Coturnix japonica: one gene and its partners. The protein of the gene in region 3 binds, or shares a complex with, the protein of the main gene of each other region. Links are inferred from orthologs where the notes say so. Each region holds a gene or a part of one and is shown on either strand. Other genes may lie near its edges.

What was found.
Region 1: the proteins of EZH2 (region 3) and EED are in contact, whole or in part, in a cryo-EM structure (PDB 8VMI), measured with the Homo sapiens proteins. The link is inferred for Coturnix japonica from reciprocal best matches to the Homo sapiens genes EZH2 and EED. Residues at the interface, in NP_001190176.1 of Homo sapiens: Arg34, Glu37, Val38, Lys39, Met41, Phe42, Ser43, Asn45, Arg46, Ile49, Arg52, Thr53, Ile55, Leu56, Asn57, Glu59, Trp60, Lys61, Arg63, Arg64, Ile65, Gln66, Pro67, Val68, His69, Ile70, Leu71, Glu82, Cys83, Ser84; in NP_003788.2 of Homo sapiens: Val85, Asn86, Ser87, Leu88, Lys89, Glu90, Asp91, Trp103, His104, Ser105, Lys106, Glu107, Asp109, Pro110, Val112, Arg120, Thr122, Leu123, Tyr124, Glu125, Gln129, Gly130, Glu131, Ile132, Arg133, Leu134, Leu135, Gln136, Ser137, Tyr138.
Region 2: the proteins of EZH2 (region 3) and JARID2 are in contact, whole or in part, in a cryo-EM structure (PDB 8VNZ), measured with the Homo sapiens proteins. The link is inferred for Coturnix japonica from reciprocal best matches to the Homo sapiens genes EZH2 and JARID2. Residues at the interface, in NP_001190176.1 of Homo sapiens: Arg78, Ile131, Pro132, Tyr133, Asp136, Ile146, Lys156, Val157, Asp160, Arg161; in NP_004964.2 of Homo sapiens: Arg108, Pro109, Arg110, Leu111, Ala113, Gln114, Arg115, Lys116, Thr154.
Region 4: the proteins of EZH2 (region 3) and AEBP2 are in contact, whole or in part, in a cryo-EM structure (PDB 8VMI), measured with the Homo sapiens proteins. The link is inferred for Coturnix japonica from reciprocal best matches to the Homo sapiens genes EZH2 and AEBP2. Residues at the interface, in NP_001190176.1 of Homo sapiens: Ser76, Leu77, Arg78, Gly79, Thr80, Thr100, Asn102, Ala103, Val104, Ala105, Ser619, Asp620, Val621, Ala622, Ile739, Glu742, Met743, Glu744, Ile745, Pro746; in NP_001107648.1 of Homo sapiens: Lys382, Leu383, Lys384, Asn385, Arg387, Arg388, Ser390, Leu391, Pro392, His395, Asp399, Ala400, Gln401, Asp404, Ala405, Arg407, His408, Ile411, Cys412, Leu415.

Annotation. Positions count from the first base shown.
Region 1 is NC_029516.1:170,402,399-170,405,958, reverse strand, and holds part of EED (polycomb protein EED), read right to left. Parts: intron 1,454-3,560; coding exon 1,361-1,453; intron 580-1,360; coding exon 514-579; intron 1-513. UniProt on the Homo sapiens protein: Polycomb group (PcG) protein. Component of the PRC2/EED-EZH2 complex, which methylates 'Lys-9' and 'Lys-27' of histone H3, leading to transcriptional repression of the affected target gene.
Region 2 is NC_029517.1:67,726,282-67,729,841, forward strand, and holds part of JARID2 (protein Jumonji), read right to left. Parts: intron 3,189-3,560; coding exon 3,096-3,188; intron 2,432-3,095; coding exon 2,313-2,431; intron 2,173-2,312; coding exon 2,102-2,172; intron 1,302-2,101; coding exon 1,187-1,301; intron 1-1,186.
Region 3 is NC_029517.1:75,450,784-75,454,929, forward strand, and holds the start of EZH2 (histone-lysine N-methyltransferase EZH2), read right to left. Parts: upstream 2,843-4,146; 5' UTR 2,793-2,842; coding exon 2,734-2,792; intron 2,258-2,733; exon of another isoform or gene 2,046-2,257; intron 1-2,045. UniProt on the Homo sapiens protein: Polycomb group (PcG) protein. Catalytic subunit of the PRC2/EED-EZH2 complex, which methylates 'Lys-9' (H3K9me) and 'Lys-27' (H3K27me) of histone H3, leading to transcriptional repression of the affected target gene.
Region 4 is NC_029516.1:59,163,945-59,168,206, reverse strand, and holds the start of AEBP2 (zinc finger protein AEBP2), read right to left. Parts: upstream 2,822-4,262; 5' UTR 2,676-2,821; coding exon 2,047-2,675; intron 1-2,046. UniProt on the Homo sapiens protein: Acts as an accessory subunit for the core Polycomb repressive complex 2 (PRC2), which mediates histone H3K27 (H3K27me3) trimethylation on chromatin leading to transcriptional repression of the affected target gene.

The DNA of each region.
Region 1 (3,560 bases), on a different chromosome or scaffold from region 3:
CACATAAGGACACCTTTCTCTTGGCATCACTTTTCAATCTTTCTCCAAAATATCAAAAGACTGGGAATAAAAATGAGGATGAATCAAGACCCAGTCAGAAATCAGTAACCTGTGAACTGCAACTGATCAACAGAAGTTATTACCACTTCAGAGCATGAAACATAATTCTTAGGCTTGAAATCCAGTTCCAATTCAGAGAGCTGAGACCACTGTAGAACATGGAATGTGAAACTCTGCACAAATATTGGTGTTGGGAAGACTGAACTGACAGAGAATCAGTTTTCAAATACTTTAAGACAGCACGTTCCATGAGTCTGCATTTCTGATATTATTTCAATACGAAAGACTCGAGGATGTGGGAAAGACGAAAGAAGGCTAAGACCCAATAGGAGGAATGTGCCACATGAGCAGGGTATTAAATCACAGAAAAGCCTCTGTGTTCTTTTTCCTACAAAGCCTTCACTATTATGATGAAGAGGAATCAAGCAAGTGTGTTTTTACTTAAAAGGATACATCAGCATCCACATAGGACTGTAACAGGCGGATTTCTCCTTGGGAGTGGCATTCATATAAAGTAACCTGGGGAAAGAAAAAAGTGAGAGGGATTGTTACTTACTTGTGATAGTACAAGAGAAAACCAAATACACCTGTGCACTGTGCTGTTTGTGGAATGGCAGTATGCTTCTATGGTTTAGCTCTCATCTCACCTGTTTATCTAACAGTGGGTTTAATAAAACAATGTGCCCAACAGTTTTAGTAAAGCAGCATTCCAGGACTTGCTAGCAGCCCTTCCCAGATATTAAAATATACTCTTTGAATATTCTCTACTTATAACTAGTTACTTCATCACCTCTAACCAGACCTAGTCTTTACATGAGCATTTGATATACAGTTAATTTTAGTTTAGCACTTTTGTCAGGTTGGACAAACCTGGAAATGAGAGACTTCTTGTTTATGTGGAACACTTCCATAGGAGGAACTTGAAGACTAAAACAATGTAGAGTCTTGTTCAGAAAAAGCCTATAAAATCAGGCTATCAATTAAGCCTTCTAGAAACAGTAACATCTAAGAAGAATAATTTCAGTGAGAAGATACATTTATGCACCTGTCTTCTTTAACATATGTTCATGTTACTAGCAAAATTTTAATTACCACAGAGGCTAATTCCCAAGCAGCTAAGGCATGGCATCATACTGTAATTCAGAGGCAGAACATCTCCAAGATAACAGACACTACATACCTCATAAATACGGCTTTCTATGCAAGTCACCGTATGTTAGTACTATACACAGGTAAGGGGTTTCATTGAAAAAAATGAATGCAAAGAAAAGCAACAGGAGGTTGAAAACAAGTTACTTACTCTGTTGCTGCCTACAGTGGCAAAAACAAGAGGATCGCCTTCTTTACTGTGCCAGTTAAACTGGACTCCAAACAAAGGCTGACCATGGTCCTCCTGCAGATGTAAAGCAAGGTTAGAAAAAAAATAAAGCTCACAAACACATTATTTCTGTGAAATTCAGCTGTAATGGGAAACAAATTGTTATGTTTTCCCCCCAAACTACTAGGTTCACACCCAATATAATTTCATATAGCGAACAGTTAAGAAGAACAGTTTTGTAACATCACATTCTAATTTGGCTGTCTTCACAGAGGATAAAGCAGTATTTCTTTCCTCTCAACAAAGTTTTAAATTCTAAGGGAAGAACTGTTGCCTCACAGCTGAGAACAGAAGTTGGCCCAACTACTGCTTACTCTGCTTTGCATCTTTCAACAAGGAAACCTCCTAAGGTCACGTCTATAAGCACTTTATATTGCTGTAGTTACTTTCACACAGGGATTTACAACATCACAAAGGAGATCTGTTAGGATTGAGAAGAATTATACTGGTGTAAGGGTGGAGAAGGGTTACATTTCACTATTACAGCACAGTTAGGTCTTGCAACTCTATCACAGGCACAATGAATTAACTCCAGCATATCACAAAGCTGCTGCAAAGTTCATGTCTACAAAATGTTTTCAGATCTCCTTCACAAACAGTTATCAGAAGAATGTCAAGTATTATTTTTATAACATTTTACATCAGTTTAAGGGGGAGGGAGGGGGGAAAGAAGCAGATATGTTTACAAATCACAATGAATATGGTGGTGCTTGTTATTAATTGATAACAGTATTTTGGCCTGTTCTGACAGGATGTTTTCAGCAAGAATAATGTTCATTAAAGTGCCTCCCCACAGGGGACTGTCTGGGACAGTACAGGCAGGAAGGAAGTGTCTCATGATGGCTGTTAAGCAGCCTTCAAATGGCAGTGCTTCAGAGACAACATGAGAAATATTAGCCCTGGCAGCTCTGACCCATACAGGAACCACAAAACAAATTTGAGGAGGGGGTATGGGGTGAGGAATTCAATTCTACTCAAAAACAAAACAAAACAAAAAAGACTTGCTAAAAAGGAAGTTAGAAAGAATTTGAACTAGGCCATATTTACTGGGAAATGCAGTATCTGTTGTTACCTCAATGGGGACAGCTAGAAGAGCCAAGTGAAAAAAATAGCTTTGAGTGAAGGCCCTCCTGCATCTCATAAGGAGAGGCACAATTTTCAAAGCTGAATACAAATTAAGAAAGCATGTTTGAAGTTGAACTCTAAGCATTAGCCACTGTAACATTAAAGAACAGGTAGCTGTTTGATGGGGAGCGTGGGAAAAGTAGCAAGGTTATTAGTAACCCCAGTACAGAAGAAAAAAGAGGAGGTATTCATCACTAGTACAGCGTTAAAATTAAATTAAGAGACACAGAATTAGGAAAACACCAGGGTATCTGCCTGAAGTTATGCTTACCTCATTTAAACTACCATCATCCTCACTGGTCAGAAACAGCACGTGCTATTTTGATAACACTGATAACTGTTTTAATCTTTGTACCTGCTGCTTACTAGGTTTTCAAAACATTACACTATTAGGTGCTGCATGTTAGTTATCCTGAGAGGCTGGATCTGTCACAACAACCTGACTCCTGGCTTTATAGACAGTTTGACCCAGATATAACAGTAGAATGGTGAAAAGCCACTTTGACCCTGGTATAAATAAAAGGCATGGACTCAAGGTACTTGGGTTCTTCATGCACCAGAAAGAAGGCAAAGAAACAGATCCTACAGTTGCTATAAAGGTAAACAGATAATCAGCAGTTGGTTCTGCCCTCACTCACTAAATAGCAGCTCAACTTCGGCCAGACAAAATAAGGTTAGGCCTGTTTTTAGACAGAAGGCAGCGAAATAAACACTAAGCCAACACAAAATAATCACCTGCAAGTACATGAGCCCATTTTAAAATATCATCACCCACACTGCTAGTGAGGCACAAACTGACCACACATGCATTCCTGGTTCCTGAAGGGGAAGCAAACTACCACTAGAAGTGGTTTTAGCTACTTCTCCCTTACTCGACAACAAACTAGAATCCAATTCCCAGGTCCAGGGATAGAAAGTAAAAGCTGAGATACTCCATTCAACAGCTAACAGCTATTCAACCACACCCTGAACAAGAGGGAAGGGTAGGGCAAACTGG
Region 2 (3,560 bases), about 7.7 Mb from region 3:
TGACATCAGCACCAGCTGAGAAGCACAGGCATTAAAGGTGAACAAGTACACACTTAGCGCATGAACAAAGAATGGCTGACATTGCCACTCCATGGGGACTCCTGGATGCAAAGGCCTTTGCTGACTCTGCAAGCAGTGTGGCAGCAGGGCAGCACATACACTTCAGGCCTTCCAGACCTTCTCCTGTCACATTGCTCAATGAGCCGAAGGCTCCCATTGTTCGGGGTTCTCGAGAACTGCTGAAACTGTTGAAAGGCAATCAGCTTCTCACCTTCGGTGGGAGTCAGCATTTCAGTAACTTTTGTTCTCCATTTAATTGATTTTCTGAGGTCAAGAAACAGTTATACTGCTTATCGTTCACTGTTCTCACTGATGATCCTCTTGGGTAATAACACCATTATCATCGGAATGTCACAGAAAGGCACGTGACATGCCGGCAGCACCTGCTTCCACTAATTCCTCCATCAGCTGTTGTACTTCCATTGTAATTTAATTCATCATCATCTGTAGCAGCACATACGCATTGAATTCGGAAAGGATCACCATGTTCATAACCATTTGTAAGCTCAGTGCTAAGTCCATTTGTTTTAAGTGTCTCCAACATATGAAACGTAGCTAACACCTGAGTACTAATGGCCAGCATCTAGGCACTAGAACGATGTGTGGAATCATAATTAAAAATGATTATCATATGATAAAGAAAGAAAAAAATCACAATAGAAAATATTAGGAATCTGGTAGATACAGAGTTGATATGTAAAATAAGAAAATGGTGGCTATTTAGTCAGAGTATGAATTCAGTCACTTTCCCAATGATAATACGGAGCAAGCTTGGACAAGTATCTCTCTGTCAGCCTAAGGGAAGCCTGCCCTGACCAGCTGTTGTGCTGGTTTCCATCTCATGAAAACTTCCTACCCTATCTCAAGCAGAAACAGTTCATTGCTAAGTATCTCAGAACAGATCACAGAAGATAAACCAAAACTTTTCTTCCCAGAAAGAAGGTTTTTAATGCTTAGTTTATACTATGTTTTTCATTAGACCTGCCATTGTGAAGACTAAACTTCTAGGTAGAAGTTTAGTTGAATGTTAATTCATTCACACAAAAGGTACTAGAAAAACTGCTGTTAACACCAGCCTACAGAGAGCCACTGCAGTGAGCATGAAAACAAACACGGTAATACCTACCAAATGCAATCAGCACCAGTGTGTAAGTAGTCAATGTATGGAAGGTGATTTTGGTCTCGAGACCAGCATGAGGTAGAAAAGACCATGCCAATATTTAGCCAAGGAATTGTCACTCCTGAAACAGAGATTGAAAATGAGTTTTGAGTAATCGCAATTTCTAATTAAAAGACAGTTTGAGGGCATTTCAGTTGCAATTCTTCTACCTGTGAGCTTTTTGCAGTCTGCCTATCAGAGTGAATAATTCACAAAGAATAATTTATTTAATGACACCAGCATTTCCCACTACTGAAATATCTAGCAGATGAACATATTTATTTTCTAAGAGCTGCAAAAAATTTTATCCTTTGGTTTATTTACAAATATTCATAACCCAAGCTCAATGCTATTGATCACAGAAGACTGCCTCTCAGTGTCAGTGCATATATACACGTTAACATAAATCCTCTTTCCTAACTGGCACGGTCCAGGCACAAAATCCAGGTGACTGGATTTTGCTTTCAGCTAATGTTTCTAATGACACAGATGCGGCTGGAGCTTGTGACACTTGCAACAATTCATTTACAAAAAAAAAACCTGTGTGCAGCTTTACCCAACATTTGTCCAGGTTTGCACCAAGAAAGCTGTATGTCTTTCATCACCCTGACACAAAACAAGAACACTGATGTACTGACAACAACAGACAGTGATGCTGCAAGCACAACCAGCTCCTCCCAGGTGCATGGTCTTAACCATTCATTAAGTCTATATCTAAAACCTGATTTCCATCCCACAGGTATGAGCTGCTACTTACAACTGCATCTCTACCTAGGCAGCTACTCAACAAAAGGACTAGACAGAGCGAGAGAAGGCTTTGATGACTACACTACCACATTTAGAGGGCACACATGACAAACACAGAAAAAGAATCCTACTTACCAGGCACAGCACCAAGATGTCGCAGGATGGATCCTGTATTATTAGGAAGGACTGTGAGGTTCCACCCATGCCTGTTAAAAGGGACCCAGAGGGAAACATATGTCAGCACCATGCCCCTGCTGTCAAGCCAGCGCTGTGCTGCCCCACTGGCAGCAAGTTCCCACACCTGGTTACGCAAATGGGGCAGGCGGCACAGATTCGGTGACCTTACCTAGAAAATGGTTCAGATTTCCCCACAGGAAAGCCGCTCCCATGGGTGTTGGTATCTACTTTTCCACAATGCACTGCTACATGGCTATCTTTCTGTTCCACTAACCGCCAATATTCTTGCTGTTGGGAGAGAAAGTGGTGATGGGTTTTGAACAAGGTACTTCCCATTAAAATTTAAGTCCCAGAAATCACCTCAGTGTAACTCAACATAAAACACCGTTTAGAAATAAGGACAAGAGGTAATGGCCTCAAGTTGTGCCAGGACAGGTTCATGTTGGATATTAGGAAAAAATTTGTCTCAGAAGGAGACAAGCATTGGAACGAGCTGCCCAGAGAAGTGGAGGAATCACCATCCCTGGAGATGTTCAAGAAATGTGTAGATGTGGCACTGAGGGATGTGGTTTAGTGGGCATGGTGAGGATGGATTGACAGCTGGACTAGATGATCTTGGAGTTCTTTTCCAACCTTAATGATTCCATGATTGCAAATACTAAAAAGCACTGGTGGATTGTGAAGACAGGAATTAGCCCCACTTGCTCCTGTGCTTCATTGCAAAGTACACTAAAAAGTCTTTCTCGCAGTTCAATACCTTTATGAAAAACGTTTAAAAAACCGAAGGGAAGAATCACTATCACACCTACACATAATGAATTATTTTTTTTCCCCACATCAGACATCCCCCACATTAAACCACTAATGGTAGTTTCTAAACATCAATAAAGATGAACCTCTATGCTCCACCTCCACAACACAAAACATTTACTACCCCTTGTGCTGGTCTCACCTCTACTTCAGCTACTGTAGGCTCCTTTGTGAAGCACATGTTCATGATGTTTCTTGCTGTTCGGTAGAAGGTTGTTAAAGAAACGGACCTACCCTGTGGAAATAGAAAATAAAATTAAAAGTGAAAATAAAACTAGGTGTCCCCATCTCCCCTGGCCTAACTCTTTTCCTTACATGCTTAAACTTCTAATCACAAATGAAGAAAATATCTTCGGGAAGCATGTGACATTTTCTTATTAGATTTCTCAAACCTTAGAGAAGTTTCATCACCTTAAAATGACATTTCACCTCTCAAAACAGTACGGTCAAACCAACCCTTTCAAAGACCAGCTGAGCGTTCACAGAAAGCCACGTGCACTGCTTCATCCAACACAGCATTCTGTGTTTGAAAACTACAGCAGCCGGATACATGACCTCGTAGTCTATGACATGTTGCAAATGAACCGGTACCCAGCCCTACCTGAAT
Region 3 (4,146 bases):
ATATATACAATTAGTACACTCACTAATGTACTACAAGAATTCCCTACTTGCTAAGCCAAAGTTTCCTTGTAGATAAGCTGAAGTACATTTACATCTCACCTACAAATGCCATATCATAGAACAAATATAAACCCATTAGAAGGCATATTTCCAACAAAGTCACCCACGATATTTCAACTCATTGAAAATTCTAGGTAGAAGAAAATACCATGTGGAAAGCAAAAAATTTTGAATTTCTAGTCTCCAGCCTAAGCTTATAGACTATTGCTTTATCTGATTTTAAACTGAGCAAAGACTTTTAATGTTCTTCTGCCAATAAGTATTTTCAGTGTATGTCACTTTCAGAGTAATATTTTAGAATGTCTAAAAAAGTATTTTATTGCATAAAACTTTTGAATAATACCTCCTAAAGTACTAGAACCGTGTTTTCTGAAAGACACTGTAAGCCTTATCTATATTATTATGATCTAATATAAAGCAAGGATAGCTACCATACACTGTGGACAAGTAATACTCACCCTTCTGAAGATGCGTTATTGTTATCACAATTAAACATTCCCTGAACTCTCAATTTGATACAGACACTGGGGACAAACAAAGAATGACCTTTTAATTTTTACAAGTCACAAAGAACCGGAATGTGCCAAGCCCTAAAAATAATAATAATAAATTAAAAAATAATGGAAAAAAAGGGGGGTGGGGTAGGGGGAAAGAGGAAAAAGAGAAAAAGAGAGAAAGGACTTGTATATGAGGAAATCTCCGTTTAGAAGTTTATCGTGTACTAAAAATACCAGTAAAGTCTCGCTGAAGTACTGAACGGTTGGATCTGCAATTGCTCGACTTGCACAAAGACAAACCTATCCTGCAACAAATAAACAGACCAAACAAAAACAAAACCAAAAAACCAAACAGAGAAAAAAACCAAGGCCCTAGTTCCAATGAAATATACTGTTTCATAACTTTGAAAAAGTATCTTGAGCCAGGTACAGGTTCATTATACCATTTTTGCTACATTATGCTGAGACTGCTTTTCTTTCTGCCCATTCCTAATAATTTTTGGATGTTCGTACTTAACACCAGATACACATGCGTTGCGCTACAATACATTGATTTCATCACCTTTGTCTGATCACACACACGCCTGTTGCTCCAGCACAACTCCGTCCCTTTCACACCTCCCCAAACATGCCGATTTCAGAGATCGCCCCACACACCCGCGCTTTGCGACATTAGGTCTCCAACTCAGCAGTTCCAGCTCCCTCCGAACTCTGGAGGGCCGGTTAGCCGAGCAGCGCCCTTCCCGACGAGGAAGTTGGCCGGACAGATTGACTCCCGCGCCGTCCCCGCTCTCCCGCACTCGGTGCCCGTGAAACTCGCCGGGGGCTGGAGAGCCCCGTCGCAGACTGGCCGGCGGGACGGCAACGTGCGAGGGCGAGAGTGGGAACGCTCCGCTTCCGGGACACCGCGGGCACATGGGGCTGCCGCGGACCTACTCGCACCCCAGGGCGGGGGCTACCGCCGCGTAACAACTTCTGCACCGTGCTTCTCTCTCGGAGGGGGCTGAGGCGGACAGAACGGACTTGTCTTCGCGTTTCGGACTCACCGAGACCTCACCTTGCGTACGTTTAACACACGGATCCCCCCGCCGACCCCTCAGCGAAACCGTGCCAGAGGCAGCCGCCACCACAGGAGGCCGGCAGGAACGGGGAGGAGAGGAAACAGCCGGCTCCTACCCGCTCTTTCTCCCGCACGGCGCCAGTCGCCCCCCCCGCCCAAGGCTCCGCTCCGCCGAGCGCGGCGCGGCCAGGATGGACAGAGCCAACTCAGACAAAAGGCACCGTCGGCTCCGCGCCGCTCCCTCCGCTGTCAACGGCTGCAGAGCGGGCGCGAATCTCGCTGCCGCCCCCCACCCCATCCCGTTCCTTCAAGCGCGACGCGGCGCGCTGCTCGGGACCGAGGCGGTCGCGCCCTCCCTGTCTGCCTCCCCACCCCCCATAACAAAGGGAGTCGGTTATAAATAACTGCTCCCGGCCCGCAGCCCGTACGGTGGTTGTGGTGCTGCTGCCGCTGCCGTCCAGCTCACCCGTCCCCTCGCTCCAATCTCGTGCCACCGCCACCACAGCCGCTTCGCTCCCCGACTCTTCTTCCCTCCTGCCTCCGGCTGCCGGATTCACCCTCCCGGACCGAGCGCCAAATACAGTGGCCCAATCGGTAACACGTTCATTGGCGAGAGCCGAGCGCCGCCCCGATTGGACGGACGCGGACGGAGCGCCCCGAGCCAATCAGGGGCGGAGAGGGGCGGGGAGAGGGGCGGGGTCCGTGCCCCACGTGCTGGCGGGAAGGAGGGGTGGGGGAGCTCTTTGTTCTCGCGCTGCCGCCCGGGCTGGCGGTTTTGTGCCCTCTTTGCCCGTCCGTGTAGCTGAGCGGGCAGCGGGTCTGGAGTTTGAGGTGCTCCGGCCGCCGCCTCACGGGGACTGGGGAGGGGAGGGAGGCGAGGGGTCCGACGGGAGCGGGGAGGGGCCTCGCGTCTCAGTGCTGCTGAGTTTGAATCAGTTCGAAAGTGGGAGCTGTAACGGTTTTAACAGTCGTGCTGCTGCTTCCGCGCGCTGCAGAGAGGGGAGGGGACGGGACGGGACGGGACGGGACAGGACGGAGAACTGGGAGAGGCGCGTCTGCGACCAGGCGGGAAGATCCAGGCGGGGACTGGGGGTGTTGTTGGCAGGAGCTGCTTACCTCAGCACGGCCCGCTCCCTGCCCGTCGCTTCCGCGGCGGGCTCTCTCCTTCCCGGCATTGCGCCGTGCCGAGCGTTGGCTGGCTGAGTCACTAACCAGAGTACGTGATGCATCCTCCTGCCGTGTCATCTGACCTTTGCGCACCCAAACCTAGCACGTATCTGTCCTTTTGTTTCACGCTGTTGCTCACGAATTTTGGTGCCTTGCTGTTCTGTAACCAGCATGGATTCTTAACTGTCAAAATCCCATTGTGTCCCATCTTGGCAGTGATGGTAAATCACAGCAACAGCAAGGTGTCCATTCTGCATAAGGCTGGGATCCTGTTGCTAGTGATACACTGTCTCTAGCCTAAGGTTGCTACCATTTTCCCTCGTTTTTATTCTACGACTCAGTCACGTTGACAAGGAGGTACTTTAAACCTCAAGGATTCATTCCCCCTTAGCCTTCTTTTGTCTCACTGTTTGGCCACTGCAGCCCTTCTTTGTTGACTGGAAAAACAAAATTGCCAAGATAAGATCATGGTGGGAAACTTCCATGTATGCTTGTCACCATCTCTCCTTCCTAAGCCTCCTGTGTTCAGCACTACTTCTGAGGTAGAATGGATTGTGAGCCTTGTACCCTTACTGTCTGTTACCAGTGTTTCTCACCTTCCCTTGCAAATCACTTCTGATACATTCAACTACCTTGTCTCATCTTTGTGTGAAGCCCAAAAATTAGCACTGTCCACCATAATGAGGTTCTGAATGATAAAAATCCTATGAGAGAAGATCATTGACACAGCTTCATGCCCAAATCTTTCAGCTGCATTATAGGCCAAACAAGGATCAGAGTTCTTTTAATGTGGAACAGAAATTATTTCCTCTTATGTTTGCATGTCACGAAACGATATATTGTCATACTCTTTCTTTGATTCTACTAGAGTAGATGACCTTTTCCAAGATTACGTTAAAACTATCAACTTTGCAAAATGTCAGTCATTTCTTGAAATTCAGCTATTTAAATCTATTCTGCTCCAAGATGGCTGGCACCACCAAAATGGCTACCCAGTCTCTTCACAGCTTGGAACTTGTAGTTTTTTTATTGTTAGAATTGCACTTCATGAGATCTTATCTTAGTCTATATATATATATATATATATATATACAACTCCTGTGCTAAATAAGCATAGCGTAACTTTAAGCAAGCACTATAGTCAGTCACAAGGTGAAAAAAAGATGTGTGGAGACAACACTGAACTCAATTGCAGTACACGCTTCAGTTTTTGTCTTGCACAGAAAGTTATTCACCTGCTGTACGTGAAGCTAATGCTTACTAGAAAATAAAACACATTTTGAATGGAACTACTCTTTCTGTTTTGCACTCTGTGAAAACAATCTTTCCATGCTGCATTTCAGTTCTAGAAGTGATGAATCC
Region 4 (4,262 bases), on a different chromosome or scaffold from region 3:
TCCACAAGACAAGTCGATGTCAACTTCCTTAGGTCTTCGGTGACAAAACTGGAGTCTCCATTCAGGACACAGGCAGAAAGTAGACATCAGAGTGCTGTACAAGATACTGTTTTACAGAGAACATCGCTGAGCAGATATCAATCTGTCATAGTTACATCGTGTAAATCTGACCTGCTCCCAGGTTCTCCCAGGTACTCTACCATCCCATTGTGAACACTCTTGAGGCTTTTCCATGCCTCCCCTACCACTGGCAACTGCCTGCCCAGCTGATCACCCTAAGGACGCACATCATGTTCCAGCTGGCTTCTAAGGGGCAGCAATAATTTCCACTGATAGGCCAAGGGACCTGTTGGACTACGTGTAGCATCACTGTTTTTGCTGTCTACCCCAAGGCAGCAAGGAATGTCATCAAAATGAGCTTTTCTATCACCAGAAATAACAAATGGCACTTTGCGTGGCGTGGTTCTTTTCCTACTCAACTCAAGCAGCAGGCTATGAAATTACCATACAAAATTGCTTCTCAGTATCTCTACGTTTTCAGCGTGGCCACTGAAGACAAAACCTTTGCAAGATAAAAACCAAAAACACAGTCCTAATTTAAAACTACTGAACACAAAAGGCTCCTGCAACTGACTCTGCTCCAAAGGTACTGGAAAGGAGCAACGAAGAGCACACACAGATTTGATTTGTGCCACTATAACAAGAGGAGCCTGCAAACAATGACAGAGAAAGAAACTAGTACAGCAGCTCTGAAGTGTGTGAGCAAGACGTAACGGGGCTGCACTGTCAGAAAACCCCTGTAACTGATTCCTGTTATTTCCTTAACCTACAAATTGAGACAGACTCACAAGAGATCAAGCTGCAGTGCAGAGTTTCATTTGGTAGAAAACAAGAAGTGACGACCCTAAACCTCCACCACATACCTGTTGTTTCCCCAGAAATCTACTCCCACACTTATGTGATTTCATGTAAAAATCCACGTGAAAACAGAGAGAAAGAAAGAAAAAGAAAGAAAAACTCGCCACCTTCTTATTTCACAGCAAGTCTGAAGGAACGAAAAAAATCCCCCAAGTCCTCAAGACTCAGAAGTCAGGAGGAAATGAAAAGCATGGATTTAAAATTCGTTTTTAATTTTTCCTAAGACTTTCAGACCCAGCACATGGTTTGGGGAACTGACTCACGAGGGTTTCATTTAACACGTGAGGCTGGACCTAGAAATGCCACGCTCCTGCAACACGGGCGTTTCCCCATCTACTCAAATTTAACCTAACACATCAACAAAGCATGTAACCTGGACCAAAACTGATCATCTTTACGCTCAATAGCAAAACTATCTTCAAAAAAGGAACAATTATTATTTTTGTACCAACTACCGCAAAGCCCAAGGCTTTCTTAAAGCCAAACCTAAAAAGGCAAAGAATAAAAGAAGTTTCTAAAACTATTCTGAAGCACTTAGCAGTAAAAGAACCGACAAATTCCACTCTTTTTTCCCCCCACATCCTATTTTCCATTAGGCTGTATTACATACCCCCAAGAAAACCACTAGGCAAGCCGTGCTCCTAGAAGTGCCCAACCTCTGTGCTAAACGCGACCTGGGAACTGGGCTGTGCCGTCCCTCGAGCCTCAAGCCGGCAACTACAGAAATCATCCACATTTGGCATTAAACCATTCATCCAAAAATGACTAAGTCTCACACGGCTGGGCTCGGCTTCATCCACAACACAGCTCAGCCCGGGCGAAGGGCCGTTCCCTCGCTCCTTTCAGCAAGGTGGGATTTTTCCCTTGTGTTCGGCGGTTTCCTCAGCTCGCCGCCCGCAGCACGTACACCCGCAGGTACGGAGCGACCACGGCACAGCAGGCGCGGTACGACTACGGTATCGCAGCGGCATCCCTCCGGAACCGGAGCGGCCCCAGGGCGCGGCGCGGCCGACCGCCCCCGCCCGGAGCACGCAGCCCCCCATCCGCCGGCCTGACAGCCCCGCGGCCCTCGGGCGGGGCGAGGCCCCAGGACATGGCGCCCGCGGGCCTCCCGCACCGGGCACTGACCTGTCCTCTGAGTCCATGCGGCTCAGCGGTTCCCCGTCCGAGGACATCTCCAGGCTGCCCCGCCGCCCCCCCGACGTGGCGCTGCAGCTGCTGCTGCCGCTGCTGCCGCCGCCGCCGCCGGTGCCGTAGCCCTCGTCGCCGCCGCTGGACACGCTGCTGGAGCTGCTCCCGCCGCCGCCGCCGCCGCGGCCCAGCCCGCCCTCCTGGCCGCCCCGCGGGCCCTTGGGCTCCTCCTTGGCGTCGGCCTCGCTGCTGCCGCCGGGGCTGAGCGAGCGGGTCTCGTCGCTGCAGCAGCCGCTGCTCGTGCTGCTGCTGCCCACCAGGCTGCTCTCCTCCTCCTCGCCGCCCTCCTCCTCCTCTTCCTCCTCCTCCTCCTCGTCTTCGTCCTCCCCGTCCCCGGCCTGGCTGGCGCTCTCCGGGCTGGGCTCCGACATGCTCTCCGCCTCGCCGTTCAGCAGCAGCAGCGACTCCGTCTCCGCCGCCGAGGACGGAGGCGACGACGAGGAGCCGACCCCGGCGACGACCGCAGCAACGGCCGCCGCCTCCTCCTCTTCCTCAGCCGCAGCGGCCGCCGCCTCGCCGGGAAGCAGCCCCTCCGGCTCCGCCATGTCGCTGCGAGCGGCCGCCATGGCGCCTGCGAGTCGCTGCGAGCCGAGCCGAAGCCGAACGGGGCCGAATCGAGCCGAGCCGGGCCGTGCGCGCGGCCGGTAGGCGCGTGCCCCGGTTCGTGTGTGCGCGCGGCCGCGCTCCCCCCGCCCTCGCCCCGCTCAGCCGCACAATCGCGCGGCGGCGCGAGCCGCAAAGAGGAGGGGCACGAACCGCCACCGCCGCACGCGCTACGGAACGAGCCCGGGGACAAAAAGCTTCCGCGAGGCGGAGCGCGGGACGAGGAACCGGGAACCGGGGATCGGGGGGTGCGAGGCGGCCGTTAACGCCGAACCGCCTCTGAGGCGACACTCGCGGTCACGGGGCGGCAGCGGGATCAGGGGTGAAGAGAAACGCTGAGCCAAGATGGGAGGAACGGCGTGTCTCCTCAGGGGAAGGGAGAGAGGCCCCTCCACAAGGAGTGGGTCAGAGTGTGAGTGTGCCCTGTGTGAATCGCTAAAAGAGAGAGCTGGGCTGGGACACAATGGGACAGAAGGAGGTTTTCAGTGGCACTGGCATCAGGAGAGCGTCTGAAGTGTGGCCTCACACCTCCGTTGGCTGTAAGAAGCTTCCAGGCTGTGGCGTGGCCAAGGCTGAATGCAAAACGCACGTCACTGCCCGAAGTGGAAGTAAAACCTGAGTTAAATGTGCTAAAACCGAGGCAGTTGGTTAATATTTTCCTCATAAACTCAGGCCAGGGTTTGGAGGAATGAGGGCTGCTAAATTGGCTGAGTTGGGAACGTTGCCATCTGAAGAAGAATAGATGGGGAAGAGAGAAAGATGAGCAGAACGACCACCAATCACATACGAGACTTCAGAAAAAACTATTAAATTAATAATGACAATTAAAGTCATTTTAATATTGGAAGAAAAGGGGATGAAGTTTACTCGAGGCAGATCGTGCTTTATTTTGCCTTGTCTGTACGGACATGGAGAATACCTTCAGTGAACTGTCACATGGAAATGATCAGCAATCCGTGTGGGATGGGGATTTTCCATAGAACAGGGAAGTACCCACCTCATAGAATCACAGAATGACCCGGGTTGGAAGGGACCTCAAGGATCATGTAGTTCCACCTCCCAGACATGGAGATGAAATTTTTTACTGAACTTGCCAAATTTAATAAGAAAAAAATCGTGAACTGGGGATGGTTTGGCTTATGAGCGGATGACAAAACTAAACCACAGCTCAGTCCAGAAAGACTTTGTTCTCTGTGCAACAGGAAGACTACCACCTCCTCAAGTCATAGCAGGCTCATCTAGCGTTGCCACAGAGGAACAGGAAAAGTTAGCCACAGAGGATTAAAATCTGGGGAGGGTGCTCCTGAGCCCTACATCAGCACAAGCAGGGCTGGCTGCCCGCCCATCAATCTGCACGCATGTATCTGTTCGCAGCAACACCAGCAGCCTGCAGTGAGCGATGCCAGCACAGAATGCCACAGTGCTGCGGGAGCACCGCAGCCTTGGAGCAAAGGGATGTGACGTTGCACTCGTCTTTGAGAGCAAACAAATGACATCTTTAACCTGCAGAGGAGCATAAGCCGATCTGTGAGGCAAACAGCAGTAAAAAT